Bombyx mori: one gene and its partners. The protein of the gene in region 7 purifies or fractionates together with the protein of the main gene of each other region. This does not show direct contact. Links are inferred from orthologs where the notes say so. Each region holds a gene or a part of one and is shown on either strand. Other genes may lie near its edges.

Region 1 (4,601 bases), on a different chromosome or scaffold from region 7:
CGTGTGCACGTTGGCCTTGCTGCGCACGTCCCACACGCGCGCGGTGCCGTCGCGGCCGGCCGACACCAGCACGTCGAGGCGCGGGTGCAGCGCCAGACACACCACGGCCGACAGGTGACCGTGGTACTGCCGGATCACCTGCACACACAACGAACCGATCCTAAATACAAAAATTCATCTGCTTTATATACATATAATTATATGGAGTATTTCAGAATGAATAAACAATAATGAATTAGTTGTGGTTTCTGTGATATAGTAAGAAAGCAACATATAAAGCCCTTAACCTCAATTAAAGAGTAAACAGTACATATTATTAATAATAAACTATACAAAACTGAACTCTCTTTTTCACTTCACTCCATGACACTGAATAACACTGAAGAAAAATCCTTTTTAAAATCTAAATAGTTTTAAATAATAAAAGTTTTCTTTACATATATTTAAAGACATATCATTTAACCTATATTTTTTTGTTATTTATAGGTCAATAACTCACTTTGTTATATTCTAAGTCCCAGCACTTCACCTGTCTGTCCTCACCGCAGCTGAATAAATATGGATGTCTTGGTGACACTACCACTCCTGAAATAGAATATATTCATATTACACATACTGGTACTTGATGGATTCTTAGATCATGATTTTCACAATTAACATAGACTCAACCTACGGTCTCTGTGCGTACAACATGATGAAATATCCAGAACTGTGTTAATGTGAAAATTATGATCAGAACTTGTTATGTAATTCTGTAATATACATAGCAGCAAAAGTTTGAAAAAATTAAAAATGTCTACTATTACTAAAATAAAAAATTACTAAATTAATTAAGGAACCGAAGATTGGGTTTAGTGGCGAGCTTTGGGGAGGCTTATGTCCAGCAGCAGACTGCCGCAGGCTGATGATGCTAAAAAAATTACTAATTTAGTAGGCAGCGGCTTGGCTAAGCCCATGGCATTACTGAAGTTCCTGGGCGACGGTAACCACTCACCATCAGGTGGGCAGTGTGCTTGTCTGGGCAATAAAAGAAAAATGCGTTCATTATTCAAAATCTGAAAACCAAGCATTGATTTTTGCATGAATACAAAAAGTGTGCGCACCTACCTCTTACTGTACTCACATGTCCAGTGAGAGATACTTTTAGTTTCCCACTTGCTAAATCCCATACTTTTATCACTCTGTCAGCGGCACCTGAAATATCAAAACCATCATGCAGATTAATTCCTTAGGATTGGTTTTATTGTAATGGTTGTGCTAAAAGTTCATTATAACAGAAAAATGAAGTAACTTTAATCATAAATCAAGTTTATTTTTTCAACCGTTCATAGGACAACAGCTTGTCTACACAAATACAATATATTGATTATCTAACTGTCAAAGTTTATGTTTTGTGTTGTATTGATAAAAAAGTCTTATAAATAAGTATATTTAATATGTAAAAATCAAACTTTATATTAATAAAATTTTTAAGATTGACAAATTTGTAATTATAATTCTTACCACATATCCTTCTTCTAATTTATACTAAAAGGATTAAATATATTAGTTAAATGTTGGCATATTAGATGCCATTAGTTTGCTCTGTATGTGGTTTCTATAATTTTACTTACCGGTAGCAAACCACTCATTTCCAGGTTCTACAGCAACACATCGAACCCAACCCAGATGACCTGATATAACACGCATTAATTTCCAGGGTGGGTGCCATTTTGGTTTGGGCATAGACGGCGGTTTCCGTGGTACAGTTAAAGCCCCCGAGGGGGGAGCTGGTGACGGTGAAGGTGTTGGTCCAGAGTATGGGACAACAGCCCCTTCCGACGGCAAAGGTGCAGTTTCCACTGTTTCTGCTAAAGAAAACATTCGATTTATTTCATTGCAATATCAAGGAGTATTGGACCGATTTTTTATTGAATGTAATGAGCATAGAACTCATGAGGTCCACAGCTAAATTCTTGCTGTTTTTTTATCATAACGAAAATGCAACTTTGTTGTAAAAAAAATTCCATAAAAATGAATAATTTTTTTTTTGTTTCTGTATTTGATCCATATTTCTGGAATGTTCTCGATTTTTGTAGAGATATCGTATTGACTATAAAAGCGTTGCAGAGATGACATGAAAGCAGTTATTAAAAGGATCTACTCAAAGCGAAACAGCAAACGGATCACCTGAAGCGAAGCGGAAGAAGTGAATTACGAATTGTAAAGTGTTTGGTAAGTGTTCTTAGTTTTAAATAGAGTTTTAATATGTACTTCAGTGGAAGTTTTATTTATCCTGAGCCTAAGCGCTTAACCGTATATAGGAGTTTGTTAATTGTTTTTACCTGTGGTCAGTGGAGTTTCAGGTCTACAGGTGACAGACTCTTGTTGTTTCAGGGCCTGAGCCTTCCGCACTGCACCCATGACTTGTCCGTAACTATCTCTTGCTTTAACCAATTTCAGTACTTTCTCTCTGTTAATGTAAAATTATAAATAATAATTATCTACTCTAGTGTTTTATGTAGTTATACATAACGTGACATTTTCCTCTAATTTATTTACCTTGACAACATTGTCTGCTCCCATAAAGGTTTTCTCCAGTACAGTAGAAAGTTTTAAAGGTTTAGCAGAAATTTTTTGATACGGAACAACAAATCGCTTAGTTTGTCTATTGTACCGATCTTTGAAATAGCTCATCGATTATTTCCATTAGGACTTGTATTAAACTAACCTCAAATAATATTATTCTGTTTTACTTACGCTTTATCGTCGATTGGCGGCAACATTCCTTGATTAGCTAGGAACATATCGTGCGATCTTTTCAACGATCGAAACACTAAAGTGTGTACAGAATGTTTAATCACGTCCTCAGACATTATGAAGTTATTAATTAATGTCTAAAATTACTTAAAGAATACGAAATACTATTAACTTGTAATATTAAATCAGCATTTAAATTCAATTTTATTTTTAATTAATGCATATTCCTTATGATTCTTACGAAAAGCTTTTTGGTTTTAACGGTGTCGAGACCAAGAAATACCCGACAACAAACAGCAACAACTTTCCTACAAAATAAATCCTACGTCAAACAAACGTCAAATGGACGGTATGAGCAGCGTCACTGTCAAGTGTCACTGTACAGATAATAAAAAATTTGGGCAAATGAATGCAAATCTCGATTAGCCTGCAACAAACATAATTATTATGATTTTTTGAAATTACCATTTTAATTGTTTTAAAACAAACATTTTAAATTCCTCTTATTGAGCTGAAATACTAAAGGGTATTTGAAGAAAAAATTTATTGTTTGTTGTTTATGCTTGTTGTGACGGATAGAAAGTACGGATTTGGCTCAGAATTTTATCAATAATTTAATTAGAGTTTGCTCCTAGAAATGAAAAAAACACTGTTTACACAACGTCGATTTTATTCATAAGTACAAAATTCGAGCATAAAAATTCATTGCGAAGAAAATTGTGGAATTGATTTTCAATAAAATACACAGTGGACTATATCTATATTTACCTCTAAATTCACAAGTAGGTACGAACATGACTAGAAATTGTGCTTACAGACTAGAAACTAGACTAGATACAGCTGCTCACTAGTTTTCGAATATTTATTGATTTAATGATAGCTATTTGTTATGTTAAATTACATACAATAAACATCCTCCAAAGTATTATTTACATTGTACAGTGTGCCTGGTGCGAGTTGTTTTAACTTCTCGATCGTGTAAAAGTTACTCAAAATTGTATGGAGCTGGGGCAGTTACTCTGCGTTTGCCGCTAAAGGCGCTGTTCCAACTCCATACAAATGGTACTAAGCACATTGTACTGTTCAACACACAGACTTGGAATACTTAATAAGTGCATACACAATATTTACATAAACACACAATTACCGTAAAAGAGCATTTTAGTATTTATGAACGAATGTTAATCACTGAACTACCAGAAATTTCGACGACGATTTTTCAAAACTAAAAAAGCATTACACTCAGTGAAACAAGAGTCAATAGTACGGTTGTTAAACGAGACGGTCAACGTTCGAATTTTCAATCGACTGCCAATCGTAATCGATTTCAGTTGTATCGGCGACGGAGAATACCGCGCCACTCTCGGTTCAGATGGCCGATTTCTCTGGATTATTAGCGTCGCTAACGCGGCGGGAGTGGGGCGCGCGGCGCAGCGTCCTCGGCTGAAGGTTCAGAGGAGGCAAGTTGGGGCGTTCGATCCTGGTTGGCGATGACACGAGCGGTCTCGTTCTGCGCAGCGTCTCGATACCGTTACGGAAGTAGTCCTCAGCTCTATCGCTGTAATTTTCTATCAGGGGCGCCGGGTCTTCGTATTCAACATTGAAGTGACGGGTGATGGCCAAGTCTTCGGGTGGGCCGAGTTTGTAGAGAGGGGGTTCGACGCACTCGTAGTGGTGGTCCTCCGTATCGTCGTGCGGGTAAGTGTCGGCGACAAAGTGTCTCGTGCCTCTCGGCGTGAGGGCCGCCCACAGCACTCGTGAATCCAGAGCCGGGCCACCGTATAATGCGTTGGAGCCACTGGCTTTCGCTGTACCGCTTTTGCAGCCACCACGAGCCCTGAAAACCGAATTAGATTAAGTAA
Region 2 (4,836 bases), on a different chromosome or scaffold from region 7:
ATCAGGGAAGAAGAAAGTTACCGGAATGGATAGTTTCGTTCAATCTGTAATAAAAAGATGTAATCATAATAACTACATAACAAGCAGCGAAACTCCGTACCGTTGAAAGGCTTCGAAAATTTTAAAGAAGATATTTTATACATTTTAATGGCTCGGAATGAAGTTTACGACGAATTATGAAAGAGCTAGGCTTCAGATGGAAAAAAAAAAACAGAAAATAATCGGAAGCTGGTAATTGAAAAAAGTAACATTCGATTACTACGAATCGAATATCTTCAAAAAATAATTAATTATAGACAAAAAAGAAGATCGAACCGACCGAGTCGTAAACTACACCGATGAGCCCTATGTCGACTTATCATGATGATGGCGACTCGGGTGATGAAAACAGTGATGATGGTAATGGTCAAGATTATGATAACGAAAAAAAAATTACAAATACCAGCTTCGCTTCAACTGAACGAAGACCTGGCAACAGCTCTAGTTTTGACTTAATAGAAGGAATATCTATTTTACCCCAATTATTAACCTATATTTTTTGTTGATGTTCTAATAAATATATAAATAAATACATATGTTGATTTTAATAATTTAATTGCATTATGACGCAGAGTAAATAATGTTTTTGCACGTGAGTGTACCATGCGCAAACTTACCCCCACTACGTCAACAAATGCTCAAGAAGTTTGCCGGCTATTATACCTATCATAATTTCACTTAGTCATTCATAATGGTGTATGTTTGAATAGCTATTGGTGATACATAAAGTAATGTACTCAATGCGACTCATGAGGATTTGATTCCGATACACATGATTTATCTTTAAATTCATTTGAATTAAATGTAGTTTTATTAAATTAAACAGCACTACGCAATACATACTTTCATGGTCATAACATATACGGCATGTTTTTTTTTCTCTGGATCATCTTCAGGAATGGTTTCTATTAAGCGGTTTTCCTTTTTCAGCTTTTTCCGTTTCTGTTCTATCTGAAATTATAAATAAGCAGTGTAAATACAATTTTATAAGTACAAATCAGTGTTTAACTTATGTTGATTGGTCATTGTTGTGAAATGATATGTAACATAATTTTGGTTTTCGATTCCCATCATGAAGTGAGATTAATATTTTTAAGCCTAGCCTTGAATTTTTTAATTCAAATAATTACAACAAAATGATACCTTGTTTCATGATAATATAAAAGTACAAAAATTTTAAGTTAAAATTTTATAAATAATTTCATTTATAATCATTTAACTAGATTCGCTTGGCAAGTAGGTGACCTCACGGGGCTCTAACCTGGCGAATTTGCTAACACTAGCCCTAGCAAGAACAGGGCTTCAAAGAATCTACCACCGGAATGAAAATGCGACAGTGACTGGTGCTTGAGGTACCTAAAGGCAGTGATATTGGATTGAGAGGATCTGAAACTACGGGCTTCATAGGTACTGTAATCGGATTTTAACATTGGCAAAGACAATATTTCTATTTGATCACCTTTATCAGGTAATTAGATAAAGCAAATCACTCACCATATGATCTGTTCGTTCCTTAGCCTCTTCATAGATGTCCAGACATTTTTTTCTTGTGTCATCATTTTCTAATGTTTTCCAAGCTCGATTCACTATTTCAAAAGCTTGTTGAGCACGCTCAGAGTCATCCTGCAATTTAAAATTCCGTAATTTTGTTACTGCTAGAATTGTTTGGTATTTGGTTATTATTTACTATTTTTAATGTTTATTTGATTAATGTTAAAAATATATTTAACCAATTTTACTTGCGAATTCAGTGAGAGATTTTTTGATATTTTTTTTTGACTAATGAAAGTGTTTAATTAATTTATAGTATAAATCGGTGAACAAGCTTTTAGCTTGCAGATGTGACTGAGTGAGTTACAGATGTTGCTACGCACCTTGAGCTTTTTGTCTCAATTGTATAATAATTACAAAAATTACAATCTTTTCAAGGTTCATTTTTATTTCATGCTCAAATTGAATAATTCATTAAGGAAGTTATTCAAAAACATGTGTCAAATGCATGTTTTATTCCAAAAATTGGTAACTGTCTGCAGAATTTAATTACAAGTATAATCATAATATGTTGCGATATTTATAGTTTTGAAGTACACAGAAAAATATTGAGATGCTATAATAGCCTGTCGCTCTGTATGTTTTATTCAATTTTCTCAGGCAAATTAAAACAATACACTAAATAATAGAGTAAATTGAGATAATATAACTTAATCAGGTCGTTTTGTCTCTATTACACTATTTTTATTTTAACCCTTTTGCATTCCATACATTACCTATGTAGTGGAGTCACAGGGCGTTCCCAGGGTCTCAACCAATCTGTGGATGAAAATGAATAGTTGACGGGCGTAACCGCCTAATCTTGTGGAGATCTTACCAAAAAACATTCATCATTTCAAAAATTCTAATAATGCAATACTAAGAAAAATTTAAAAAAGTCTTGAGTACCAATGTAATTTCAGAACTTCACTGTGGGTTTTCAAATTATAGACTACCAACTAATCTTGGTTATTGAAATGTTTTCTCACCATATTCTTATCCGGATGGACAAGAATTGACAATCTCCTATATTTCTTTTTGATTTCATCAAGTGTAGCATCAGGCTCAACCTGAAGTACCTCAAATGGGTTTAAATTGAAATAAGTGGATCCAGGACGAAGGAGCCTCTCAATCTGTTGTTTAGGTGTCAAAACGGAGTCACGTTTTTCAATTTCTTTAACCTATGAACAACAGAAATTCACGAAACATCATTGAGAATTTGTCAAATGCTTGATTAAAATGTTTTTGTTTTTTTTTCGATTATTAATTATGCATGACAATTTATAAACATGATTTAGAGTAAGCATGAAGGTATGAGAAACAAATTGTATCTGTTTTGTTTGTTATTCAAACTCTCTACATGTACCAATCGTGTACCATGTTCTTTCGTTCAGCATGTCACAACAGCTTTATCAGTTTTAATAAAAGTATTGTATAATTTAAAATGTAACATTTGGTGATTCCATCGTTGTAATTTGAACATGGCTTACCTCTGTGTAAAATTCGTCAAAAGAATCTCCCCTGTTTGTCGATGTCGTCGAAGTCATTGTTAAATGTGAATTGGAGGGTAACGAGATTACTAAATTAAATTAATTCATTTAATTCCAATTAATATTGCAGTAAATATTCACATGCTACTTTTTTGCATTTTAATGAATTGAAATTGAACGAAATGTGAATGAAATTATGTTGAGCTTGACAAATAGTGACAAGCGTGTAACAATAAGTTGGTTTTTTATAAGGGATTTTATGACCTGGTAACTAAGATTTTTAAGTCATGTCTTATCATAATTTATATTCTAATTTTTATGAAAAATGATATTATGGAGTGAAACGAAATGAAGACGATTAATTTGAGACATTAATCAACTGGGATGCAATTAAATAAAATGAGATGTGATGATATGGGATGACATATAATCTCAGTAAAATGGTGGTCACTTACTGAAATTTTTTGAGTACACTTTTCGGCGGATCCCGAGAAGTTACGTTCAGCGGCTTTTTTTCATTTTCTCACATTTGTGCAGTTTCACAGATGTCACACATTTAAAACTAAAGTAACATTATTAGACAAAACTATTAGATAAATTATTAGATAAAACAAATCACTTAACTTCACTCCTCGCGTTCCCGCCAAAAAGTTTATGTTACTTTAGCAGAGCAGCTTAACATAGATTATAGCTTACACGGACGAGCCGATATTTTGTAGAGCCGGTTACTGACACTAGACAACAGCAGTTCCGGATTTTCTTGGCGCAAATCTTACCGATTTGTTAAACTTTGTGATTACACATACACTGATTTTCCATATTGAAAAGAGGGCTTCTTGGCTTCATTCTTCTTCTTTTTCTTTAGTTTTTGGCTACGGCACGGTTTGTGCATTAGCCAGCGTCAAGTAATAAGATTTTTATAATTCGCCGTTTTAATTATTTCCAGTTTTTGAATAATAAAAAACGAAGGAAACATAATCAATTGGCATGAAATTAAACGAAATGAGATGTTATGGGACGAAATATAATCTCAGTAAAATGGTGGTCATTTATTGAAACTTTTTCAGTGGACTTTTTGGAGGATCCCGAGAAGTTACGTTCAGCGGCTTTGTTTAATTTTCCCACATTTGTGCACTTTCACAGATACTAAACAGTTAATAAACCACCTTTATTACACATTGAAACCCGAAAAAACACTAAATAGACAAAATGAAACAAATCACACTATTTCACTCCTCGCGTTCCCGCCAAAAAGTCGTCTTGACTTCATTATTCATTCAGTATACATGACAGGTTAAATAGCACAGGTGGCACATTATCCTGTCAATTTACTGGACGACCTGGACGGTCTGAGGGATGCGTGAATGGGTGTTGTATGCGATACGTGATGTACATTATTGAAAGGTATGTACCTACCTACTGTTTTACGATTTTACTTATATTACTATAGATTATTACAATATGCGAAAAGTAATTCAGAATTCATGAACTACCTGTAAGTATAATGCTATTATCTCCCAAAGAGTCAAATAAATTATCGATCATTCCATCATAGTATCTCTAGAGTCCGAGTACCTATTCTTACGTTCCATTTCATTCGTCCCTATCTCGGTCGTAGTTAGTAGACTTATTTTCTCACGGCTGAGACCAAGCGGTTCCTTAGAGGTTATAAATTTGTCTCGTAATTTTACAAAACTGTGGAAACTATTGTGAGTATTATGTACATGATATATTATTATCATTTGATACTTAAATGCTGTAAATGTGCCCATAACAT
Region 3 (4,624 bases), on a different chromosome or scaffold from region 7:
CTACCTTAACTATATACAGGCTTAGGGTATCATCAGCAATATTTTTTCAAGATAAGACGTTTTCCTCTTCAAGTGACTATATTCTATATCAAATCAGACAAATAGGATATTTCATCATTGTTTCATTGAGAAAATATTGTAAATGATAGTTGCTAAGGCTGGTCTTAAGGGCCACTATTGAGATAAATAATAATTTTATGCTTTTACCTTGCCGTATAATCCTCTGGAATCTAGACTATAACTTATTGCTCAATTATTTTAAAAAAATCGGTAGAACATGAGCTCTCATTTTCTGCATTAAAAATCTAAAGCCATGTTATGGTATAAATATTTCGGGAGACCCATACTGATAATTTCATTAGATGAAATAAATTAATGTAAAGAGTTACAGCAAAATTAACAATAAAGTTTATTTATCTGTGCATTCATAAATGAAGAATAGTCCCGGAAATATGTTTTCAATATTATTTATGTTCAGCCTCTGGCCAGATTTGAACCTTTGCACTAGTAAATAAATGTTTTGATGAAGTTTAACGATATTCTGCCATTTTCTATATGTTGACTATTAAAACTAAACAATGATACAATTATAATTATTTTGAAGCTTTTATCCTCCTTTCTTCCACTTTTCGCCAGGTGTATACTCAGTCATTGGTTTACCTGATATACCACAAGTACCAATTCCTACTCTCCCTGTCAGATTATCAGGAGAAGCAAATATACTTTTTGTTCTGACACCAGGTTTTTTAGAAGCCTTAGTATGAAATGATAACCACTTATTCTTCTCAGATTCTCGTTCTTCTTCAATCTGTTTGAATCTTTGTTGTTTCTTCTGTTTTTTTTTCTTTAAATACTCTCTGTTATACCCTTTGCCATGTCTGGAAAGAAAAACATTATATTAGTGAATTTAAATTCCATCTGTTTTTTTTTAAAGTGGAGTTCTCCTTCACTAGACTTTCAGTGGATGTTATCTTTTATGCTCTTATCATAATAGGTTGGGGAAAAAGCACACAAAAGATATCAGATACAGATATGACCCCAGACTCAGTGAACTACTTGTACTATCTTTATCTTTATTTCCTACCTAAGTTCCTAATTCATATGGATCATTCCTATCTTATATATACTAGTGGTAAGGTCAATGTTTATATTTAATTATGTGATTTCTATGGGCTCCAGTAAGCACTAAATATAAAGTGGAAAAACATCAATTAATGTATTTCTTTCTACAATTTACAACAATACTATTAGAATTAAATAAAAAAATTAATCATACAATAAGTCTGAAACAAATATTCAAATTTAATCATTTTCCACAACAATAACAATTTTAATTGAAATTACGGTTTAATCTCACATTGAATATTTTCATTTCATCTTTGATTCTGTTGTTTCTTAATACTTTTTACTACTGATTTTTTGATCATGAAAATAGTAATTACAAGATTATACTGTAAAAGTAGCTTTAAATATGTTTTGAACATGCAAAAATTACAAAATGATGTAGATGAAAGTATTATTTCAGTGCTTGCTTGGTACATTACAGCATCAGGGAAAATAAAATATGGTACGGAACACAAAGAATACTAAGAAGGCTGCTGCCAATAAATTTTACACAATTACAAGTAAATTCAAAATTTATCCATTTAAATTTCCATTTCCATTTTCATTTATCCATTCCATTTTTATTTCAGGTTAAATGATACCAATGACAAAGCATATCTTCAAGTTAAAATTGTCATTCTCAATTAAAATAATGTAAATCACAATAACTCTGATTTTAAACAAATTTTGTAACCAGTGTTTACTGCCAATGCGAAAATGCAAATGTTATTAAAGAATTAATTCTAACCTATCTAACATTATTCATGAACTGAATGTTTTTAAAATAACTTTTTTTACTCAGTAAACACAACGATTGAGACTTGACAAGAATCACATTATATCTAAAAACAGTAAAACTCACTGCACAGCTATACAACATGGACCAAATGATACAGTAGTCATGAGATTCAAATGGAATATTAATAATATATATATAAATATAATTGAAGTATTTAATATTATAATTTTATTAAGTACATTGTAAGTATTTTTGTTATTTGATGACAGTTGTATTTCAAGGGTCAATTTGGTATTCATTATAATGTATCTCATGAAATATAAAACAAGGAGATTTATTTCTACTTACTTGCTCTCATCAGTACTATGTGGTCTTTTACTTCCTGAATTTAAAGGCTTTATATCAGTCAATGAGACTACTTCCAAGGTTGTGTATCCATCAAATTTTACTTTTAAATTGTCTTCTAGCACCTCCTCAATGAGAGCCTCATAAAACCTAGAATTTTAAGATCACTATAATATCGGTTTAATTCACATACAATATGTTTAACTTATAAGTACTGTAATGTAAAAAGTGTACAGTAGTTCCAGAAATAAAGCATTTTTTAATTCTTACATTCCATCAGCTCTCCATTTTGCCAAACATTTTTCGCCAATAATCCATTTAGAATAGTGCCTAGTTGCAGGATCTCGTTCCTCTGCAGCCAACAGGGACGCTGTAACATCATCACTATTACTAGAACCATGAATATTAGAGACTTTTGAATCACCGTCTTGAGTCTTAATTAAATCTTGTGTCAATTCAATTACTTCTTCTAAATCAGCCTTTAACTTCAAAAGTTCTTCGTTATGTGGATCCGTTAATAACGCTGCCTCCACCTAAGAAAAATACCATCAAGAGTGAGTAAAATATTTGGTAAACAAAAATATTTTGGGTATAATGTATATTACCTACCTGTTGCAATTGTAAGGTATAATTTCGTAGATCTTCGGCCATAGTTATATATTAAATTCAATCAACCAGGCGACAAATGCTTAATTTGCTTGCTTGATAATTTATCGCTTCAACTTTTTACTGCTGTTGCTTCAATGCTTGTCATTGCTTGACATCAGACAAATCTGACAATCAGTGCTCTCAACTTTTTTTTATTTAAGGATTTTTATGACCTGGTAACTAACACTTTTAAGGCATGTCTTATTTTAATTTATAAACTTATTTTTATGAAAAATGTTGGACGTTTAAATTTGAGGGGATTGGGTTCTGTAGGTAATGAGGGGCTATTTAAAAAAACACTGCTTCATTATAATTATATTGCAGATAGTTTGAACACTGTTACACCATTATAAAATTATTATCTTTATATTTTTGTAAAACTCTTACATGTTGCTTTGACCATATCTAGATTAAAAGTACTGACTTTTTCTTACGAGAAGACAATCATCTGTTTATTAAGCATTTAAAATAATTCTAATATTCAAAATCTGTAATCATGTGTCAAGTGTTGCCTGCCATTACATTTATATTCAAACTCCAACTAAATGAGATAAACTTTCATTAAATTAACCTGTGTATAGCATAAATTATGTTTAAATGTTTGACCTAAAGGTCTTTGTTACTAGTTCATAAAATCCCTTAAAAAAATATTTAAATATCATATCTATGGCATAAACTTCTCGGGATCCTCCAAAAAGTCCACTGAAAAAATCTCAGTAAATGACCGCCATTTTACTGAGATCTCATTTCATTTCATGCCATGTTTCATAGATTAATCAACTTCAATTCATTTCATAGTATCATATTTCATAAAATAAAAAATACATATAAAAGATTACGCTGTGTGGTATGATACCTGTGCCTTTCCATTTGGAAAAATAAAACTACTACTAGCCCCGTGAGCTCACCTACTTCACCAGGTTTGAGCCCCGTGAGCTCACCTACTAAAGTTAGGGTTACGCTGACATAGCCAGGTGAATGAAGTTAGCCCCTCAAAAAAATATTTTTTTCCTATTTTATACTTATTTTCTATTAATTCGTTTGTTCATCATTTGTTCATGATTGTTCACTGTTAATAATTGTTTGTTCTGCATTTATTTATTTAAAAAAAAAAATTAAAAATATACCTACAAGTTAGCCCCTCTAATGCAATTTTTAATATTTTTCATCCTTAATGACTCGTAAATATTCATTTTCGATTGTTCTTATATAAAACACGTTTGTTCTCTTTCGAAGTTACTCGTTTTTTGTTTAATTTACTATTTTTATTAGTTGAATAAATGTATGCAAAATATGTGTACTGCGCATGCGTCAACTATAATGGCTAAACTTTCTACGCGGTTTTAGTCGTGAAAAAAAAACAAATATAAATCCTGAAGGAGCAATTAATTGGTATACAATTTAATTTAAAAAATTAAAAATAAAATAAATATAAATATGTAATAGTCGGATTTTTAATTAGACGAAGCCAGCTGACAGTAGCTAATGTCACTTTGTGAAATAATGTTGCTATATTTAAAGTAATAGTGATGCGTTCAGTTCTCGTTCAATCACATAAATGAACAATGAGTGTGAAGAGTTAATCATTAATTTCAAACTATAAAAGAATATTATTTATATTTTACAATAAAATTGTATTAAAGTGATCCAATATAATAATATGTTACTAGTAGTATGTAACTACAATCAGTTTTTTTTATTTTCATTACCTATGTACCTATAATTGTTATATTTTATACATCTATAGTTTCAACTATATGATGCATTGGAAATAGGACAGTCTTACAA
Region 4 (4,163 bases), on a different chromosome or scaffold from region 7:
ATATAGAGTTATACTCCTCGATGAAGCCCACGAAAGGACACTTGCAACAGATATCCTGATGGGTGTTCTCAAAGAAGTCATAAAACAGAGGTCCGATTTGAAACTCGTTATTATGTCAGCCACATTAGATGCTGGAAAGTTCCAGCATTATTTTGACAATGCTCCATTAATGAACATTCCTGGTCGGACTCATCCGGTAGAAATATTTTACACTCCACAACCTGAACGAGATTACCTAGAAGCTGCGATAAGGACTGTAATACAAATCCATATGTGTGAAGAGATCTCTGGTGATATACTACTATTTTTAACTGGACAAGAGGAGATTGAGGATGCTTGTAAGAGAATTAAAAGAGAAATAGACAATCTGGGAACTGATGCAGGAGAGCTAAAGTGCATACCGTTATATTCAACATTGCCGCCAAATTTACAGCAACGGATCTTTGAGCCGGCACCTCCAAATCGACCAAACGGAGCCATCGGCAGGAAGGTGGTAGTGTCCACAAACATCGCTGAAACATCTCTGACTATTGATGGTGTTGTTTTTGTCATTGACCCAGGTTTTGCGAAACAAAAAGTTTATAATCCCCGTATAAGGGTGGAATCGTTATTGGTTTCTCCGATAAGTAAAGCATCAGCCCAACAGAGAGCGGGGAGGGCCGGCAGAACTAGACCTGGGAAGTGCTTCCGGTTATATACTGAGAAAGCATACAAGGATGAAATGCAGGACAATACTTATCCTGAGATTTTGAGGTAATTTTTATAACGGTTTGTATGTGACTACCGTTTCGAATGTAGTGAGTAAATACTGTATTTATTTCTATACTAACAGTTGTAATGTTCAATTATTATTCTTATATAATAACAAGATAAGCTCTGTTTGTCTATATTTTATAGCTTTTCATGTGCATCATTATTTCTGTCTGATTGGGTGTGGTCACTGTCAATTGCTGAGAATCATCACTTTATATTACTGTCAATTGTGTATAAAGTTTACTTGTTGTTTAGTAGTCCAAATAAAAATGTATGTGCTATAAAATCATTAATTGTGACGAATCTTGGATATTTTTTCCAAAATAGGTTTACGTCATAGAAACAACAAGCTAGCTATATAGGCTATATATAGTTTCTAGAATATATTTTCATACAAGTCGGTGTAGTGGGCAGAGCACGACAATGTTTCTCTACTCTAATATAATTTTGAATGGGTTACAATTCGCGGTATAAGAATCAGACCAAACGCATACCCACAAAAAAAAAATTTTTTTTTTCATGAAACTGTTCAAAATATAGTATTTTATGAATTGCCAAAACGACGTAATGGTATAGTTGATATTTAACAAATTCCAAAACAACTAAAAAGCCTAAGAATCACTTTCAATGGAACCAGAAAAATGTATGGAATTTGGTATGAAACGAGAAAAATTGAGAATTTTTTCCTGACTTTATCTGACTCTTACACAGCGAATTACACTAACATAGTTCTAGAAGCTAACACCCTAAATATCTCAGCTATTGAATGGGTGAAGTCTAAGAGTACTGTTACTGTCATGTCAATATGCTAAAATCACACCCCCTTTAAGTTTGTCCTGTTCGGGTAATGAAGTGAGTTGTAATCTAATAATACGACTGCGTTGCCCGTTCCAGATCAAACTTAGGATCTGTAGTTTTGCAGTTGAAGAAGTTGGGCATCGATGACCTGGTGCATTTCGATTTCATGGATCCACCGGCTCCGGAGACACTCATGCGGGCGCTCGAGCTGCTCAACTATCTGGCTGCGCTGGGTGAGCTTGTGCTGTATATTGTTTTTGAAATTACTTTAGAAGCGTTCATGGATTATTGTAACTAGAGTTGCCACGAATAGTGATTTGGCCGAATACCGAATATTCGGCAACGCTGTTGGCGGAAGCGCCGAATATTCGGCACAAAGTACATGCTAGTTAGTCGAGCGCGTAAAGAATAATATGACCGGTTGGGACCTGTCTCCATCGTGTGCGGGCGGTGTCCGGCCATTAGACTGTTTCAGTTGCGAGTAAATCACGTCACGGCACGCTTTGTCAGATCAATATAAATGAAACATTACGATTTTGTAGAAAACTTTTATCGTCAGTTCTTTTTCAATTGTTGTTCATTAAAAAATGACACCAATTAATAAAAAATCGGCCATATGGGAATATTATGAGATTTGTAATGAAAATAATAAACAAAAATCATTATTCGAGTTTTTTGACGAAACATGATTTGAGACCTGCCCTTCATTTTTCGGTATTGGGCCGAATAGTACCTATTATTTGGCCCAATACCGAATACCAAACAAAGTGGCCGAATAGGCCGACTACCGAATATTCGTGGCATGTCTAATTGTAACGTCACTAAAAAAGGCAAAGACAAAACAATCATAATATACCATTTGTCTATTCTTTTTGTGGTTTTTCTTAAGCTTTCGTAAGGATACTGTTAGTAATAAATAAAAGTTGGAAATACTTAGCCTTACTTACTTCATGAAGAAATGACAATAACAAAACAAAAGACAGAAATGTAATGGAATTTTGACCATTCAATGGATTTATAGATGTATGCAGTGAGGACAGACCTATGCAGGCTCTGCATGGCCTGCCATGAATTAAGTTTTTTTGCTTAAATCTGTGGGCGTCTATCACCCACCTGATGTTAAGTGGCTACCAGAGCCCTCAGCCATCAATAACGTAAATTTCGCCATCTACATTGAGACATGAGTTCTGAGTATACGTTTTACAGTACAATGGCTGCCTTCGAACCGGAACACATTACTGCTTCACGGCAGAAATAGTCATGGTCGTGGTATCTACTCGCGTGAGCTCACAAGACGACCTAACACCAGTCGAGACAGATGGGTTATTATTCATGATGTTCATTTGTCATTTGATTCTCCACAGATGATGACGGTAACCTCACTGACCTGGGTGCTGTGATGGCGGAGTTCCCCCTCGACCCACAGCTGGCCAAGATGCTGATAGCCAGCTGCAATCACAACTGTTCCAACGAGATCCTCTCCATCACTGCCATGCTGTCAGGTAGGATGTTCCATATCTGTGCTTACAGATAGCGTGGTCATCGTTCTCGTCGAACCCGTCGCTTGCGACGAAGGGCTCGACGAGTAAATTAACCCACAGACACAGCCCACTGAGTTTCTCGCCGGATCTTCTCAGTGGGTCGCGTTTTCAATCCGGTGGTAGATTCTGCGAAGCACGGCTCTTGCTAGGGTTCGTGTTAGCAACGACGTCAGGTTTGAGCCCCGTGAGCTCACCTACTAGTTAAGGTTACACTGAAATAGCCTCTCAAGGGTCTCAGCTTAGGTAGGAAAAAAAACCCAGATAGTATTTGACTTGCTTTAAGTGATTTCTTGTTGGGTATACGATACTGTCTGTTTATTTAAAGAAAAAATCACAAGCCACACTTCACTAGTTTGTTTTAATAGAAATTAATTTTAATAAATTGTCCAACTCCTGAACTGGGGGTAGCCTCAATATCTACAGACTTTTAACTTGGAGAATATACTGGGCAACTAGGTCAAAATGCTGAAACTACAATATATCGAATAAGGATGATGCGATTACAATTGCAAATAAGACAAGCATCATGTAGCTGAATGCACCATAAGCTCATAGAAATAATTTGTTTGATACGATATTGTATAAGTAATGGTTACATGGCTCATCGATGGAGCATGAGACAAAAAATTGTTGAAGAGTGCGGAGTTGAGTGACCCCTCCCAGCACTGACGCTTCCTCACCACATTTGTCATAAAACTAGGGGCCTGTTTCAAACCCAATGAAGGAAGTTTTAACGATGACATTTGTTCTATGCATCAATGGGAGTCACAAGCTATTGTTTTTGTTAAACGAAGAACGCTTATGACGTCACCGTCATGCGAAAGAGACAGCGAGACTACCCGTAGACTGGCTCCACATTAGCAAAGGAAACATCCCCACTGCTCTGTGCTGCTGTTCATACTACCTTCATAGCTTCATATTGTTACGCGCTGGGGTTCAGGATAAATAAAATTCCACCAATGTACACCTAAAAACTGTATTCAACACTTAGAACACTTAAAACACTCAACAAACACTTTAAAACTCGCTTCGAGTAATTCCGATTACTGACTGACTGCGTGCCATCTCTAC
Region 5 (4,163 bases), on a different chromosome or scaffold from region 7:
TTTTTTAATTTATCCATTCTTTTATAATAAAAATAAGCTCGTGTTTAAATATGGAATAGAATTTATTAATAAAATTTGACTAATTTAATAATTTAAAAATTAGTATAATAATATGTAAAGTTTTTATGAGATAAAATATTAGCATTATTATTTTATTTTATTTTTTTTACAGATATTAGACTTTTAAGTATCTTTTCATATTGTAAATAAAGATAATAATATACTTTTCTGGCAAAGCATATTTTTGAACAGTAGGCGAAATCGTTTGAGATTGAACGGCCTGGAAAATTTTCCGAAATTCGTTTGGTCCGTTCTGTTCAAATTCCGTTGACATCAATATCAACCCGTATCTCCCCGTCAGATACAAGTTAATACGATTGAAATACTAATAGCCATTCTACAAAGACATTAATTCTGCTATTATGATTTAAAAAGCACCAAAATTTTTTTGTAGCTATATAGGTTAGACATGTAAAGTGAACGTTTAGTAGTGGAATTTAGTATTGGGTTAAGCTCACCTTATCTTGTCCCAGGAAGATGTCGTTAATATGTAGTAGGAAGTCAGTGGGATAGACTGCCCAGTCGGCCCAGGCCTGCAGGATGCGCGTGACCCGGGCCCGGAAGCCCTCCTGCTGCAGGCGGGACGGCATGCGGGCCCAGGCCTGCTGGCAGTTGCGCATGATCTCAGCCAGCCGCTGCTGGAATCTACACGCAAGAACAAAGTCTAACTTCAATAGAATGTTTTTGCTGTCTTTTTTTAAAGTGAAACCTTCATCATCGTCTCAAACTTTTTCGTCTGTGTGTTGCATGTCGCGTGACGGTCGTCTGCGGAGTAGGGATAAAGTGAAAGGTGCTCGTTAGAGCAGCCAAGGCCAATATGGCAGCGCCTATACTGTGAACTATAGCTGACCGTATAGTGTATAGACTATTACTCATTTGTGCCAGTGCTCGACGCTTTTTTGTTTGTTTTTGTCAGTGTTTAATGTAAATGTTGTTTGTCAGAGTCAAATGTCTATAATGTGAAAAAAGTTTCATTTTTACCGTAGTTTCATAAAATTCTTTTTTTTATTATTGCTTTTGTAGGCAGACGAGCATACGGCTCACCTGATGGTAAGTGGTTACCGTCGCCCATGGACTTCAGCAATGCCAGGGGCAGAGTCAAGCCGCTGCCTACCGTAGCCATATCGTGCTTTGTTTGTTCTTAGCTTATTTAAAGCTGGCAGTATAGAGAAGCAGTATACTGACGCGGCGCGGTAGGCGCTGGCGTTGGTGAGCTTGGCGCCGGCGTTGTGCAGGATGTCGGAGAGCAGGTAGAGGCGCGCCACGCGGCGGTGCGGCGCGGTGTCGGCGCCGCCCAGCGCCTCGCACACGCACTGCGCCACCTCGCCCGCCGCCTCCGCGTGCTCCAGGCACCACGCCATGGCCGCGCCCACGCTGCCGCGCGTCGGGGACAGCGAGCGGATCAGCTCCTCCAGCCGGTCGCGCTGACTGCAACCACAACACTACGTTATTTTTTAAGGGATTTAATGACCCGGTAACTAAGACCTTCAAGGCATGTCTTATTTTAATTTATATTCTTATTTTTCAAAATACACAAATATGGAGAAATGGAACAAAACCACTATTCAATAACTCTTGGGTTCTTTCAAAGAATCCAGAATGCAAAAAAGATTATTGAAATAAACGCGCAAGGGTCGCGCAACTGACTTGACGGAGAGCGTTCCTCTCATGGAGTCCTTGGCGTCCTCCTCCTCCACCAGCTCGTCGGGCATGCCCGCCGTGTACATATTCATCACCGGCGGCCGCCAGACTGAACCACCTGGGAACATACAAATTTTATAGCCATTTATAGGGTACTTTGACACTCTTCGATCTTACAATAGTACATAATAATATGGTAAGAATAATTACTTGTACTTTTGGTGAATTTATTAGCGCGCAATGTAACGCAAAGTTCAATGACCCCACACGTTCCCCAAAACCCGCGCTTCAGTTAATTGTGTTTTATATTAGATTGTATGCAAACAGAAAGCTTTAGTACATTATTTTCAGATACCACTTATTGTTACGATATCTGAAATCATTGACATTCGGTATGTTAAGCTGTTACTTTAATTTGACGCACGTGAATGGTGGCACCAACACGTGGACTTCTGGTAGTACAGGACGAGGAAACAAATTCATAAAGAAATTCTTAAAAATAGTTTTTTTTTTTTAAGGGATTTTATTACCTGGTAACTGCGACCTTCAAGTCATGTCTTATTTTAATTTACATTCATATTTTTATGAAAAATGATATAATGGAGTGAAATGAAATGAAGATGATTAATTTGAGACATTAATCAACTGGGATGAAATTAAATGAAATGATATGGCATGAAATAATATAATCTCAGTAAAATGGTGGTCATTTACTAAGATTTTTTCAGTGGACTTTTTGGAGGATCCCGAGAAGTTACGTCCAGCGGCTTTGTTTCATTTTCCCACATTTGTGCACTTAAACAGATATTAAACAGTTAATAAACCACTGTTATTATACATTTAAACTTGAAGAAACACTAAATAGACAAAATAAAACAAATCACATAACTTCACTCCTCACGTTTCCGCCAAAAAGCCTTAAAAATAGTTTGATAAAGAACTACCTGTACAGATTAAAAAATTCCAACCTGTTCCAATATTTTTGTTCAGGTCTTATTATAATTGTTTTTATTGCATCTTATGCATTTTTTAAATCTAAGTATTATAATTTAGCTAAATCTCACCTTTAAACATTCTGAAGTCGTCCAGCCTCCACTGTTTAGGCGAGTCTCCCTGCAGCATGGAGTACAGCTTCCACCTATAGTAAACGTGGGCCGGCGACTGGTTCTCGAACAGAAACCGGAAGTAGGGGTTGTGCATCTCCTTGTTCATGATGATGGCCTCGAACATCGGACCCTCGCGGATGACGAACTCGACCATTCGATGTATTAACATTAGGATGTTTCTGTAAAACACATATTTATTTATTTAGAATATTAATACGTGAAGCAAAAAATTCGTATCCCTTTTTACGAAAATGGCTTGGACGGAGGAGTATGAAATTTCCCACACTTATACATAATATAGAGAAGAAGTGCAGAACGCTAAAATTTATGTAAAATTATGCATAAAAATATATTAAATCAATGAAGAAAACATTACACACGCTACCATGTATTTGACACACACTTATACTCTGTTTATTGTCGAACTTTTGTTATTGCTTAAAATCTGTAGTCAAATTTAGAATAGGTTAATATTATTTATGTTCAATATTATTTGTCTATAGTGTAGTCTTGGCGACATCTGTGATTATAGAAGTATAATAGTCTTTGACGATAGAACCATAATAATGTTCAAACTTATAATTCCAATTAATTATAGACGAATTTCGACTACTGCGGACCACTAGTTTATTTAGACACACCAACAGCAATACACACAAAACACTCAAGCTTATACTTAACATGTATAAAATTAAGTACTGGTATGTAAGCCAGTTACAGGCATGTACAGAAATCTCTTATAACACACACTATGAAATGTTACAGCAATTTTACAAACAACGGAAAAATGGGTTAAATTTTAATGTTAACAGTACGACATAAAAAAAATAATTAAAATTGTTGTTCTATAAATCGAATCGGTCAAACGACATTTTACTTGCCGTATCTAATTTAATCAATTGTTAAATGAGGCCGTCAGCACAAAAGCGGCCTAAGCTTACCATAGCCAGCATGGAAAGGAGTTTTGAATTTACTTTTACACTGCTTTGTAGGCAAAAATAATAGGCACAAAAATGTTTTAGTAGCCATCTCTTATCTATGGGTGAAACTAGGGATAGGACTGTTTTGCATCAAAATTTATTATGTTTTAAATAAATTGCTTTTTTTTCTACCTAAGCTGATAGCCTTGAGAGGCGTTTTCAGCGGAACCTTAACTAGTAGGTGAGCTCACGGGGCTCAAACTTGACGACGTTGGTAACACGAACCCTAGCAAGAGCAGTGCTTCGCAGAATCTACCACCGGATCGGAAACGCGACCCACTGAGATCCGGCGAGAAACTCAGTGGGCTGTGTCTGAGAGTTAATTTACGGTGACCGGTGCTTGAGGTACCTAAAAGCACCGTTAGTGGATCGGGAG
Region 6 (4,477 bases), on a different chromosome or scaffold from region 7:
TCCAGGACCTAAGGCGGCGTCCCAGCCAGTACACACGCCGCCTCGAAAGAGATGGTGCGATAACCACGGATGATCCTGACTGCGATGGTGCGTTGCGGCCGTTGCAGCAACTTCGCTACCCCCACGGCCAGTGACTGGCCCCACACGGGCGCCTCGTATAAGGCGCGTCACCTGGTCATGCCCCCCGATGTTGTAAAGAAGCCGGCTTAACGTGCCAGCCACCCCCAACAAACGAGGGACCAGATTCTGAAAGTGAACACGGAAGGTCCAACGACTGTCCAGAATGAGGCCGAGGTACTTCAACTGCACCCCGACCCGATACGGATGCCTCCAACCACGATATGGGCATCGATAGGTGGCACTCTCCGCGGCCTGTGGAACCACATGGCCTCGGATTTACTGAGTGTCACGTCGAGGCCCGATTTCCTGATTTTACCGACGACATGCGCCACCCGAGCGGTGGCAAGACGAGCAAACTCAGCAAAACTCCTGTGTCCCATTATTTTATTCTATCATCAATAGTTTTCGTAGGGCACGCGACGTAAAGAATATTTTAGGTAATTTTTTTTACACCTTGGGTTAAATTATTGGAGTTTTAGTAAGGATACCCAATTTTTTTTTAAAAAAGGTTATAGTCTACGTCACTCGGGAATAGTGAAGCTTCCAAACAGTGAAAGAATTTTTCCAATCGGCTTAGTAGTTTCGGAGCCTATTTAATACAAACTAACAAAACTTTCCTCTTTATAATATTAGTACAGATATTAATTATTACAAATAATAAAAACGCTGACTTAGGTGGCGGTTTTTATTTGAACCAGTTCTAAATTATAAACTAAAATTCTATGAAAAATTACCCATATTTATCTATAATACGAAATGATATTAATTTGTTTTTCGTAGTTTCCTTCCTTCTTGCGTCGATAATCCTCAGTGCTGAGGGTCGCGGCCTCCTCTAATAACTTTCTCCTGCATCATCTTGCGCCATTCCTGCCTGTCCTCGGCTGTATGGATAGCAACGTGGACTGAAGTTTTGAGAGTGGAGCGTATTTGGTCCGACCAGCGCATTGGATTTCTGCCTCTGTGCCCTCTCCCGCATACCTTGCCTGTTACCAGCAACTTTTCCAGATTCTCACCTCTCTTTCTGGCGATATGTCCAAAGATCTCTAAACTCCTCCGCGCGCATGTAGTGCGGAGGCGCATTGGAATCTTGAGCTCGGTAAGAATGGATTCGTTGGTTCTGTGTTCTGTCCAACGAATCCCGAGCATTTTCCTCCAGCACCACATCTCAAACGCGTCGATGCGTTGGCGGTCGGCTTTCTTGAGGGTCCAAGTCTCTGCGCCGTAGAAAAAAATGCCACCCAAGCACAGTCCATTTGGAACATAGCCCTCTTTGCCATACTGATTCGCCTTCTGAGGTCCTTTTCGGAGGTTCCATTACTAGCTATGACGGAGCCCAGATAAATGAAATCCTCTACGTCTTCCAGGTTTAGCTTATTCGTAGTTTAATAAGTTATTATTGTTAGTAGTATTATTTACTAGTCGAAATATAAATTTTTAATTATCTTATGATGAGAATCTTATATTAATGAGAAAGATATTCAACAAAAATAGTTTCGTTCTAATAAATTAGCATAGTAATAGTACAGTGAACTAGCAATTTATTTTGGTAATTCTGAATTTAAACAAACATATTGATGAGAAGAATTCATTTTTACTTTGCAAATTTGTAAATACACGCTCTGTAGCAATGTACGGACATATAATAATATGAAGAAACAATAATAGCATCTACAAATATATATGTACTACGTGGTACTACATTTAATAAAATTAATACAACATTTATTAATTAAATTAATGAAATTGTGGTTTTAAAGTTTTAGGGGTGTATAAAAAATGGGGGGCGCTGAAAAATAATTGATATTCAAAGGGGGCGGTAAAAGAAATAAGTTTGATAATCACTGCTCTAAGTATTTCATTTTTAAATACTCATAAAATGGGTCATTTCAAAAAATAATATGACATGAAAAAAATCATATAAAAGACATATTATTCACGTGCTCACGTGAAAATAAAAACTATGATTGCATTATAGCTGTTCGCCTGTGTTCTTCTTTTTACTTTACACAAATAAAATTTCAAATTAATCAAAAATCAAATTGCAAATTTAATTCTCGTAAACTGTTGAGTGGCGAAAAAGCCAAGTGGCACGTCATATTTAACTGTCAAACATAACAAAAAAAGTTTGGATTGACGCCAAAAAAGCCGAAGCCGCCATTATTGTGAAATCGTATTGTAAAAATAAATTTCACGTGCTCACAGTGAGTACGATACAGTAAACAAGCTAATTAAACTAAAGTAAATCATGGCTGACAACGACGATCTTCTCGACTACGAAGATGAAGAACAAGCAGATCAACAGACTGCTGACGGGTCTACCGAAGTGGCGCCAAAGAAGGAGGTTAAAGGATCCTACGTATCCATCCACAGTTCTGGTTTTAGAGACTTCTTACTTAAGCCAGAGATACTCCGCGCTATTGTTGATTGCGGTTTTGAGCATCCTTCCGAAGTTCAACACGAATGCATTCCGCAAGCCGTCCTCGGTATGGACATACTTTGCCAAGCCAAGTCCGGTATGGGTAAGACAGCCGTGTTTGTTTTGGCAACATTGCAGCAGCTGGAACCCTCCGAGAGCCACGTTTACGTGCTTGTAATGTGCCACACCAGAGAGTTGGCTTTCCAAATAAGTAAGGAGTACGAGCGTTTCTCGAAATATATGTCAGGAGTCAGAGTATCAGTATTCTTTGGTGGTATGCCAATTCAGAAAGACGAGGAAGTCCTTAAGACAGCATGTCCTCACATTGTAGTGGGAACTCCCGGTAGAATTTTGGCATTAGTAAACAGTAAGAAACTTAATTTGAAACATTTAAAACACTTCATCCTTGATGAGTGTGATAAGATGCTGGAATCTCTAGACATGAGGCGAGATGTGCAGGAGATATTCCGGAACACTCCTCACGGGAAACAGGTGATGATGTTCTCAGCCACATTGAGTAAAGAAATCAGACCTGTGTGTAAGAAATTTATGCAAGACCCAATGGAAGTTTATGTAGATGATGAAGCCAAACTCAAGCTACATGGACTGCAGCAACATTATGTGAAACTAAAAGAAAATGAGAAGAATAAAAAACTCTTCGAACTACTTGATGTATTGGAGTTCAATCAGGTGGTTATTTTTGTGAAATCAGTACAGCGCTGCATAGCTCTGGCACAACTGCTCACCGACCAAAACTTCCCTGCCATTGGTATCCACAGAAATATGACCCAGGATGAGCGTCTCTCCCGCTATCAACAGTTCAAGGACTTCCAAAAAAGGATCCTGGTTGCAACAAATTTGTTTGGCCGGGGAATGGACATTGAAAGGGTAAATATTGTCTTCAACTATGACATGCCTGAAGATTCAGATACATATCTACATCGTGTCGCCCGCGCAGGAAGGTTTGGTACCAAAGGTCTGGCCATTACTATGATATCTGATGAAAATGATGCCAAGATCTTAAACCAAGTACAAGATCGTTTCGATGTGAACATTACAGAGCTGCCTGAAGAAATTGAGCTCTCTACCTACATCGAAGGACGATAGATTAAGTTTCATTCCCATACCTATTTACTGCTGTGGCTCATTTTGTTGGTAATTAGACTGGCCTGCTTTAACATTGATTTGTAATACATTGAGCCACATTTACTGTTTAACTAGGTTTATCTAATTAAAGTGACATTTCATATTGTGATATCTGAGTGTTTTATTTCTTTACCAACAATTTGGGAGCTTTCATCGTTATCAGTAAGACAGGCTGTGATATGTTTAACTTTAGAATGTAGACAGGAAATTGATATATTTATTTTGACCATGTTCATATTAATGTAACAAAATATCCATTTTGAACATATCATTTTGTCTTTATGACTTCATATTTTTATATTCTTAGACATGCAAAATTTACTGATATTGGATGTTAATACTTCACACAAATACTACTGGATGCATTTGGATAAAATTTCATGCCTAAAAACTTCAGAATAAAACAAGCCATAATTTAATTTAGAGTACCTACGTACAGTGTGAGAGGTGGGGTGCAAGTAGTTTCAAGAAATTACTGTTTTTAGAGCCTTGCTATAGGATAATTATACAGGAACGCGACCAGTTTTAACTGAAAAGTACAGAAGGCCCATGTCCAGTAACTGGTATCCACTACAAAATCAAAATCTATAATTGTCTGCCTACACTATATTGATTTAATTAAACTAAATTAGAAACACGTCCAAAGATTTTTTTATTATATAAACTGGCATTTTAATCTATGTTCACAAAAGACGAAAAAGCGATAATGCTAAAAACATACTTTATTTTAGCACCATTTGCATACAAAATAAATATTTAAATTAAGCTTATAGTCCTGCATTTAATTTTTTTTAC
Region 7 (4,163 bases):
ATGTCAACGGCGCTCAATTTGGCGAACTGTTTAAGGGTGATGGGATCGGTGCGCAGAAGGCCGATGTCGTTGTGAAGCATTCTCGGTGACGCGGCATATCTGGGGTGGACTATTCCGGAAAGGATCGCGATGGCGGTGTCCTGGGAAGGTTTCTGCGTGAGTCCATAGTACACCACCCATGACATCTTCGGATCCTGGATTAGCAAGTCTTCGGTTTTGGAGACGCAGCGCGCGGTGGTCAGGGTCCAGGTCGGGGTCAGCACGCACCCCGAGCACAGCAGAGCGTTCGTCGTAGTATTCGTGAGTTTTAACTCGACCGTCACAACGTACGGGTACTCATCTTCTAAAGCATCTCTGCCTGTGCGCAGTGATTTCGTGCAAACCACAATATTTACAGTTTGCAAAACGAAATATAACATTAGATTCAATGCCACAATACCCATTATGTATTACAATGTTGTTCAACATAAGAGAAATACAATACACGTGAAACATTTTTATTGTTTTTCTGTTTTAATGTTTTATATTTTATTGACGAGATTTTTATTACGCGCTGTGCAATGTTATTCGCGATCGGGTTTCCCAGCAGTTTGATTGATATTTTATTTGTTTAAGGCATTTACGATAGTTTATGAAAACTTTTTTCTGGCACAGTGGGGGTGGGGAAATGTGTTAGTGCTTGTCCTTTTGGGAATACGCTGCCACAAACACAAGTAACTGAGTTTCTTTCACCGGGTCTTCTCATTGGGCCGTGATTCCGACCCGATGGTAGATTCTGCGAAGCACTGTGCTTGCTAGGGCTAGTTTTAGTAAATTCTCTCAGGATGAGCCCAGGGAGCTCACCTACCGGTCCGTGAGTAGTTAGAATAGCCCTTTAGGGTACCGACGATTAGGTAAGCAAAAAAATGCAAGCCCTTTCCTGCATTGAAGGAATCAGGGTTGAAGCCAATGTTCAATGAATCCAATGATTTTTTTATATATCATAATAATACCCTTTTTTGATTCATCCTACTTAATATTATAAATGTGAAAGTGTGTAAGAATGTATAGACATATTCAGAAAAGTACTTCGTAATTTTTCGGAAAAGTTCGTATTTATCGTGCTCTCTCAGTGCAATGACATTATTCATTTTGACACTAAATAATAAAGTTCCATACTATTGGATATGAAAATGTTACTCATTTAATATAATCATTCATTGACTGTTCGGGTGTCATCGTATTCCGATAAAGATCAGAGTTTTCCCGAAGGAAAATAATTTCCCACTACATCTTAATTGTTACTCTTTCACGCAAAAAGTGCTCAATGAATTTTGATGAAGCTTACAATAATATAGCTTACACTGCAGAATAACATGCATGTTAATCATGGTTGTAATGAATGGTAGGTGGATCAATATTTGAATAGTTATGACTATTCACAATCGAGTGCGCGATATTATGAAAGATGAAGATAGAAAATTCAATAAGATCAATAATAAGTTATAGTTCCCGAAGCGAAGCACGGGCGGGTCGCTAATTTAACCCTCAGACACAGCCTACTGAGTTTCTCGCCGGATCTTCTCAGTGGGTCGCGTTTCCGATCCGGTGGTAGATTCTGCGAAGCACTGCTCTTGCTAGGGTCAGTGTTAGCAACACTCCCGGTTTGAGCCCCGTGAGCTCACTTACATGTTAGGGCGAAGCTGATATAGCCGCTTAAGACTCAGTATATAGAAAAAAAAGTCACTAAAATCGAGTGCAACACTAAAATATTTGTATATTATTTTAAATTTTGTGGCTGGATTTATTCGCATTGTTTTCGGCCCCGGTTTATGTACTAGGAGACTCGACACATATTTTTCTACACATGCGTTTAAAATTTGAAAATTTCAAACTATTTTGTTCTATGAAAAAAAAAAAACGAAATTAATAAAGAAACATTTTGTAGTGGACCAAATGGTGTATCTAGAAGAAAAAGCCTCTCAAGGCTATCAGCATAGGTAGGGGGAAAAATGTATAAAAAGGAATATGCGGAGCTCTTTTGGAGGTGGCATTGTCCTTGTCGTTGGCCTGGTGGAAGGGAGGCGGCGCGGCTCACCTTGTGTATCTGCTGGATCTGGTCCTCGAGCGTGATGTGCGCCCTGGCGGCGCGGGTGGCGGCCTCCACGCTGGAGGTGTGCCCGTCCCACGTCACGCGCTCGTCGCGCTTCTTCTCCTCCTCGCCGATCTTCTTACCGATGGTCGTTTCCTCGTCCCCTACACCGAAGATGTCAGTACGACGCTCCGCCAACTACAACAAATGTTTATTATTTTCTTAACAGACTTACAAAATAAGGAGGTTTGCAATTCGACATTTTTTTGTTTCCTGAGGTTTTTTTCTCTTGTGAATTGATTTTGATGATTTGTTTATTTGAAAGCATGGTGCCATTTAAATTTTATGAAGATTTGATCAGTAGTTTTGGAATTATCCTCAATAGTTGCACATTTATTGACTTCAGACGTTTCTCTCTCGTTGTATTTTGTTGAATTCAGTTTTTTATTTAAAATTTGATATTATTATATAAACTTATTTATTTATTTACGTACACACAAAAAAGAAGGCATAGTACCGAGTAATAGGAAAATTATGTACAAAGGCACTGCTTATTTTTTTAAGAAATCTCTTCCAGCAGACCTGCGAGAGGATTATGAGAATAATAATTAAAAGTGATGAGTGTGTGTAGAACAGCTAAAATAACAAATACAACATGAGAATTATAGTAATGCACATACACATAGCAAATAGTTACTGGTGGTAGGACCTCTTGTGAGTCCGCACGGGTAGGTACCACCTCCCTGCCTATTTCAGCCGTGAAGCAGTAATGCGTTTCGGTTTGAAGGGCGGGGCAGCCGTTGTAACTATACTGAGACCTTAGAACTTATATCTCAAGGTGCGTGGCGCATTTACATTGTAGATGTCTATGGGCTCTAGTAACCACTTAACACCAGGTGGGCTGTGAGCTCGTCCACCCATTTAAGCAATAAAAAAATTTATCAAAAAAGTTTGGATGTGGGCATACCTGTTTAAGCGAAGCCTCGATGGCGGCCCCGGGGGCGAGCGCCTCGTCCCGGTCGGTGCGCTCGGCGGCGGCGCGGTCCCGCTGCTCCAGCCAGCGCGGGTCCAGCAGCCCGATGCGCACGTGCTCGGCCACCTTGCTGGCGGGGATCTTCTCGCCGGTGATGGGCGACACGAGCCACTCGTCCCCGGCGGCGGCGCGGGGCTTCGCCTCCTTGGGGTTGTACTTCTTGACGACGACGCGGTCGGGGCGCGGCGGGAGGGGCGCCTCGTCCGCGCGCGGGGCGTCTTGCTCCGTCTCGGACTGAAAAATAATTTACATGAATATTAGCTATGATATTATCAGAACAGCTTTTTTTTTATAATAAATAAATATTTACTAACAATCACACCACGTTAACTGGTTCTGTGCTAAGTTCGTAAAGAACTTGTGTTACAGGTACCAGATAACGGAAATAAATGTAAGATTTTTATTATACACATACATATATTTAATATACATCCATAACCCTGGAAAAAACATTTTATATTTATCATACAAATATCTTCCCTTGGCGGGATTCGAACCCGCGACCCTGTTGTGTAGTGACCATGTCACTTACCACTGCATCAAACGGCTCTGAACTGTATATATAGCATTGAAGGATTTTTTAAATGCTAGCTTTGAAATCAGTTTGTTGATACTGGTTCAGCTTAAATTGTAAAATCATTAAAAATATTACCTCCGAAGTCGAGCTTTCCTCTTCCATGTCTTGCACGCGGTTATCGTCCGGCCGATGGGACTGAGTTCGATCCTCCATTTCCGCAAGTTCCTCATCAGACTCCGATTCCGATTCGGATTCAATTTGCATCTCAGTATCATCGTCGTCATTCTGGTTCCGTATTATATCTTCACCCCTCTCTTGGGCGAGGACGCGGGCTCCGACTTCTAGTGGAGTGGTCGGAGGAGGGAAGTCTCCGGGTTCCCCTGCGGGGTAATCTACAGTTTCAACAACGACAAAATCGTGCCAGTCTATGGAGGCATACGCGAGCCTCTCTTTCTCAATTTTGGCCTCGTCAGCGGCCTTGCGCTTGGCTTGGTGCGCGTGCCAGGCAGCGCGACTGCGAGCTTGTTCTAATATCCCGCTGC

What was found.
Region 1: the proteins of splicing factor 3A subunit 1 (region 7) and pleiotropic regulator 1 fractionate together in Homo sapiens (co-fractionation; 3 studies listed by BioGRID and IntAct, with this or other methods). This does not show direct contact. The link is inferred for Bombyx mori from reciprocal best matches to the Homo sapiens genes SF3A1 and PLRG1.
Region 2: the proteins of splicing factor 3A subunit 1 (region 7) and DnaJ-21 purify together in Homo sapiens (affinity purification with mass spectrometry; 4 studies listed by BioGRID and IntAct, with this or other methods). This does not show direct contact. The link is inferred for Bombyx mori from reciprocal best matches to the Homo sapiens genes SF3A1 and DNAJC8.
Region 3: the proteins of splicing factor 3A subunit 1 (region 7) and survival of motor neuron-related-splicing factor 30 purify together in Homo sapiens (affinity purification with mass spectrometry; 3 studies listed by BioGRID and IntAct, with this or other methods). This does not show direct contact. The link is inferred for Bombyx mori from reciprocal best matches to the Homo sapiens genes SF3A1 and SMNDC1.
Region 4: the proteins of splicing factor 3A subunit 1 (region 7) and putative pre-mRNA-splicing factor ATP-dependent RNA helicase PRP1 purify together in Homo sapiens (co-immunoprecipitation; 5 studies listed by BioGRID and IntAct, with this or other methods). This does not show direct contact. The link is inferred for Bombyx mori from reciprocal best matches to the Homo sapiens genes SF3A1 and DHX15.
Region 5: the proteins of splicing factor 3A subunit 1 (region 7) and U2 snRNP-associated SURP motif-containing protein purify together in Homo sapiens (affinity purification with mass spectrometry; 4 studies listed by BioGRID and IntAct, with this or other methods). This does not show direct contact. The link is inferred for Bombyx mori from reciprocal best matches to the Homo sapiens genes SF3A1 and U2SURP.
Region 6: the proteins of splicing factor 3A subunit 1 (region 7) and ATP-dependent RNA helicase WM6 purify together in Homo sapiens (affinity purification with mass spectrometry; 3 studies listed by BioGRID and IntAct, with this or other methods). This does not show direct contact. The link is inferred for Bombyx mori from reciprocal best matches to the Homo sapiens genes SF3A1 and DDX39B.

Annotation. Positions count from the first base shown.
Region 1 is NC_085129.1:1,617,244-1,621,844, forward strand, and holds the start of pleiotropic regulator 1, read right to left. Parts: upstream 3,085-4,601; 5' UTR 2,856-3,084; coding exon 2,740-2,855; intron 2,453-2,739; coding exon 2,325-2,452; intron 1,851-2,324; coding exon 1,614-1,850; intron 1,195-1,613; coding exon 1,108-1,194; intron 586-1,107; coding exon 500-585; intron 139-499; coding exon 1-138. Other genes in the region: uncharacterized protein LOC101740918, read right to left, coding at 4,108-4,576. UniProt on the Homo sapiens protein: Involved in pre-mRNA splicing as component of the spliceosome. Component of the PRP19-CDC5L complex that forms an integral part of the spliceosome and is required for activating pre-mRNA splicing.
Region 2 is NC_085115.1:4,913,647-4,918,482, reverse strand, and holds the start of DnaJ-21 (uncharacterized protein LOC101735997), read right to left. Parts: upstream 3,193-4,836; 5' UTR 3,117-3,192; coding exon 3,060-3,116; intron 2,751-3,059; coding exon 2,559-2,750; intron 1,663-2,558; coding exon 1,534-1,662; intron 991-1,533; coding exon 883-990; intron 1-882. UniProt on the Homo sapiens protein: Suppresses polyglutamine (polyQ) aggregation of ATXN3 in neuronal cells.
Region 3 is NC_085111.1:9,516,086-9,520,709, forward strand, and holds the start of survival of motor neuron-related-splicing factor 30, read right to left. Parts: upstream 3,012-4,624; 5' UTR 2,840-3,011; coding exon 2,798-2,839; intron 2,722-2,797; coding exon 2,459-2,721; intron 2,339-2,458; coding exon 2,192-2,338; intron 879-2,191; coding exon 608-878; 3' UTR 1-607. UniProt on the Homo sapiens protein: Involved in spliceosome assembly.
Region 4 is NC_085130.1:9,705,783-9,709,945, forward strand, and holds part of putative pre-mRNA-splicing factor ATP-dependent RNA helicase PRP1, read left to right. Parts: coding exon 1-753; intron 754-1,647; coding exon 1,648-1,784; intron 1,785-2,915; coding exon 2,916-3,053; intron 3,054-4,163.
Region 5 is NC_085111.1:15,852,101-15,856,263, forward strand, and holds part of U2 snRNP-associated SURP motif-containing protein, read right to left. Parts: intron 2,987-4,163; coding exon 2,766-2,986; intron 1,820-2,765; coding exon 1,708-1,819; intron 1,489-1,707; coding exon 1,246-1,488; intron 706-1,245; coding exon 519-705; intron 1-518.
Region 6 is NC_085122.1:1,017,322-1,021,798, forward strand, and holds ATP-dependent RNA helicase WM6, read left to right. Parts: upstream 1-1,973; 5' UTR 1,974-2,365; coding exon 2,366-3,643; 3' UTR 3,644-3,793; downstream 3,794-4,477. UniProt on the Homo sapiens protein: Involved in nuclear export of spliced and unspliced mRNA. Component of the TREX complex which is thought to couple mRNA transcription, processing and nuclear export, and specifically associates with spliced mRNA and not with unspliced pre-mRNA.
Region 7 is NC_085112.1:2,358,385-2,362,547, reverse strand, and holds part of splicing factor 3A subunit 1, read right to left. Parts: coding exon 3,757-4,163; intron 3,339-3,756; coding exon 3,039-3,338; intron 2,270-3,038; coding exon 2,078-2,269; intron 2,072-2,077; exon of another isoform or gene 444-2,071; coding exon of another isoform or gene 1-443. Other genes in the region: transmembrane protease serine 3-like, read right to left, coding at 1-443. UniProt on the Homo sapiens protein: Component of the 17S U2 SnRNP complex of the spliceosome, a large ribonucleoprotein complex that removes introns from transcribed pre-mRNAs.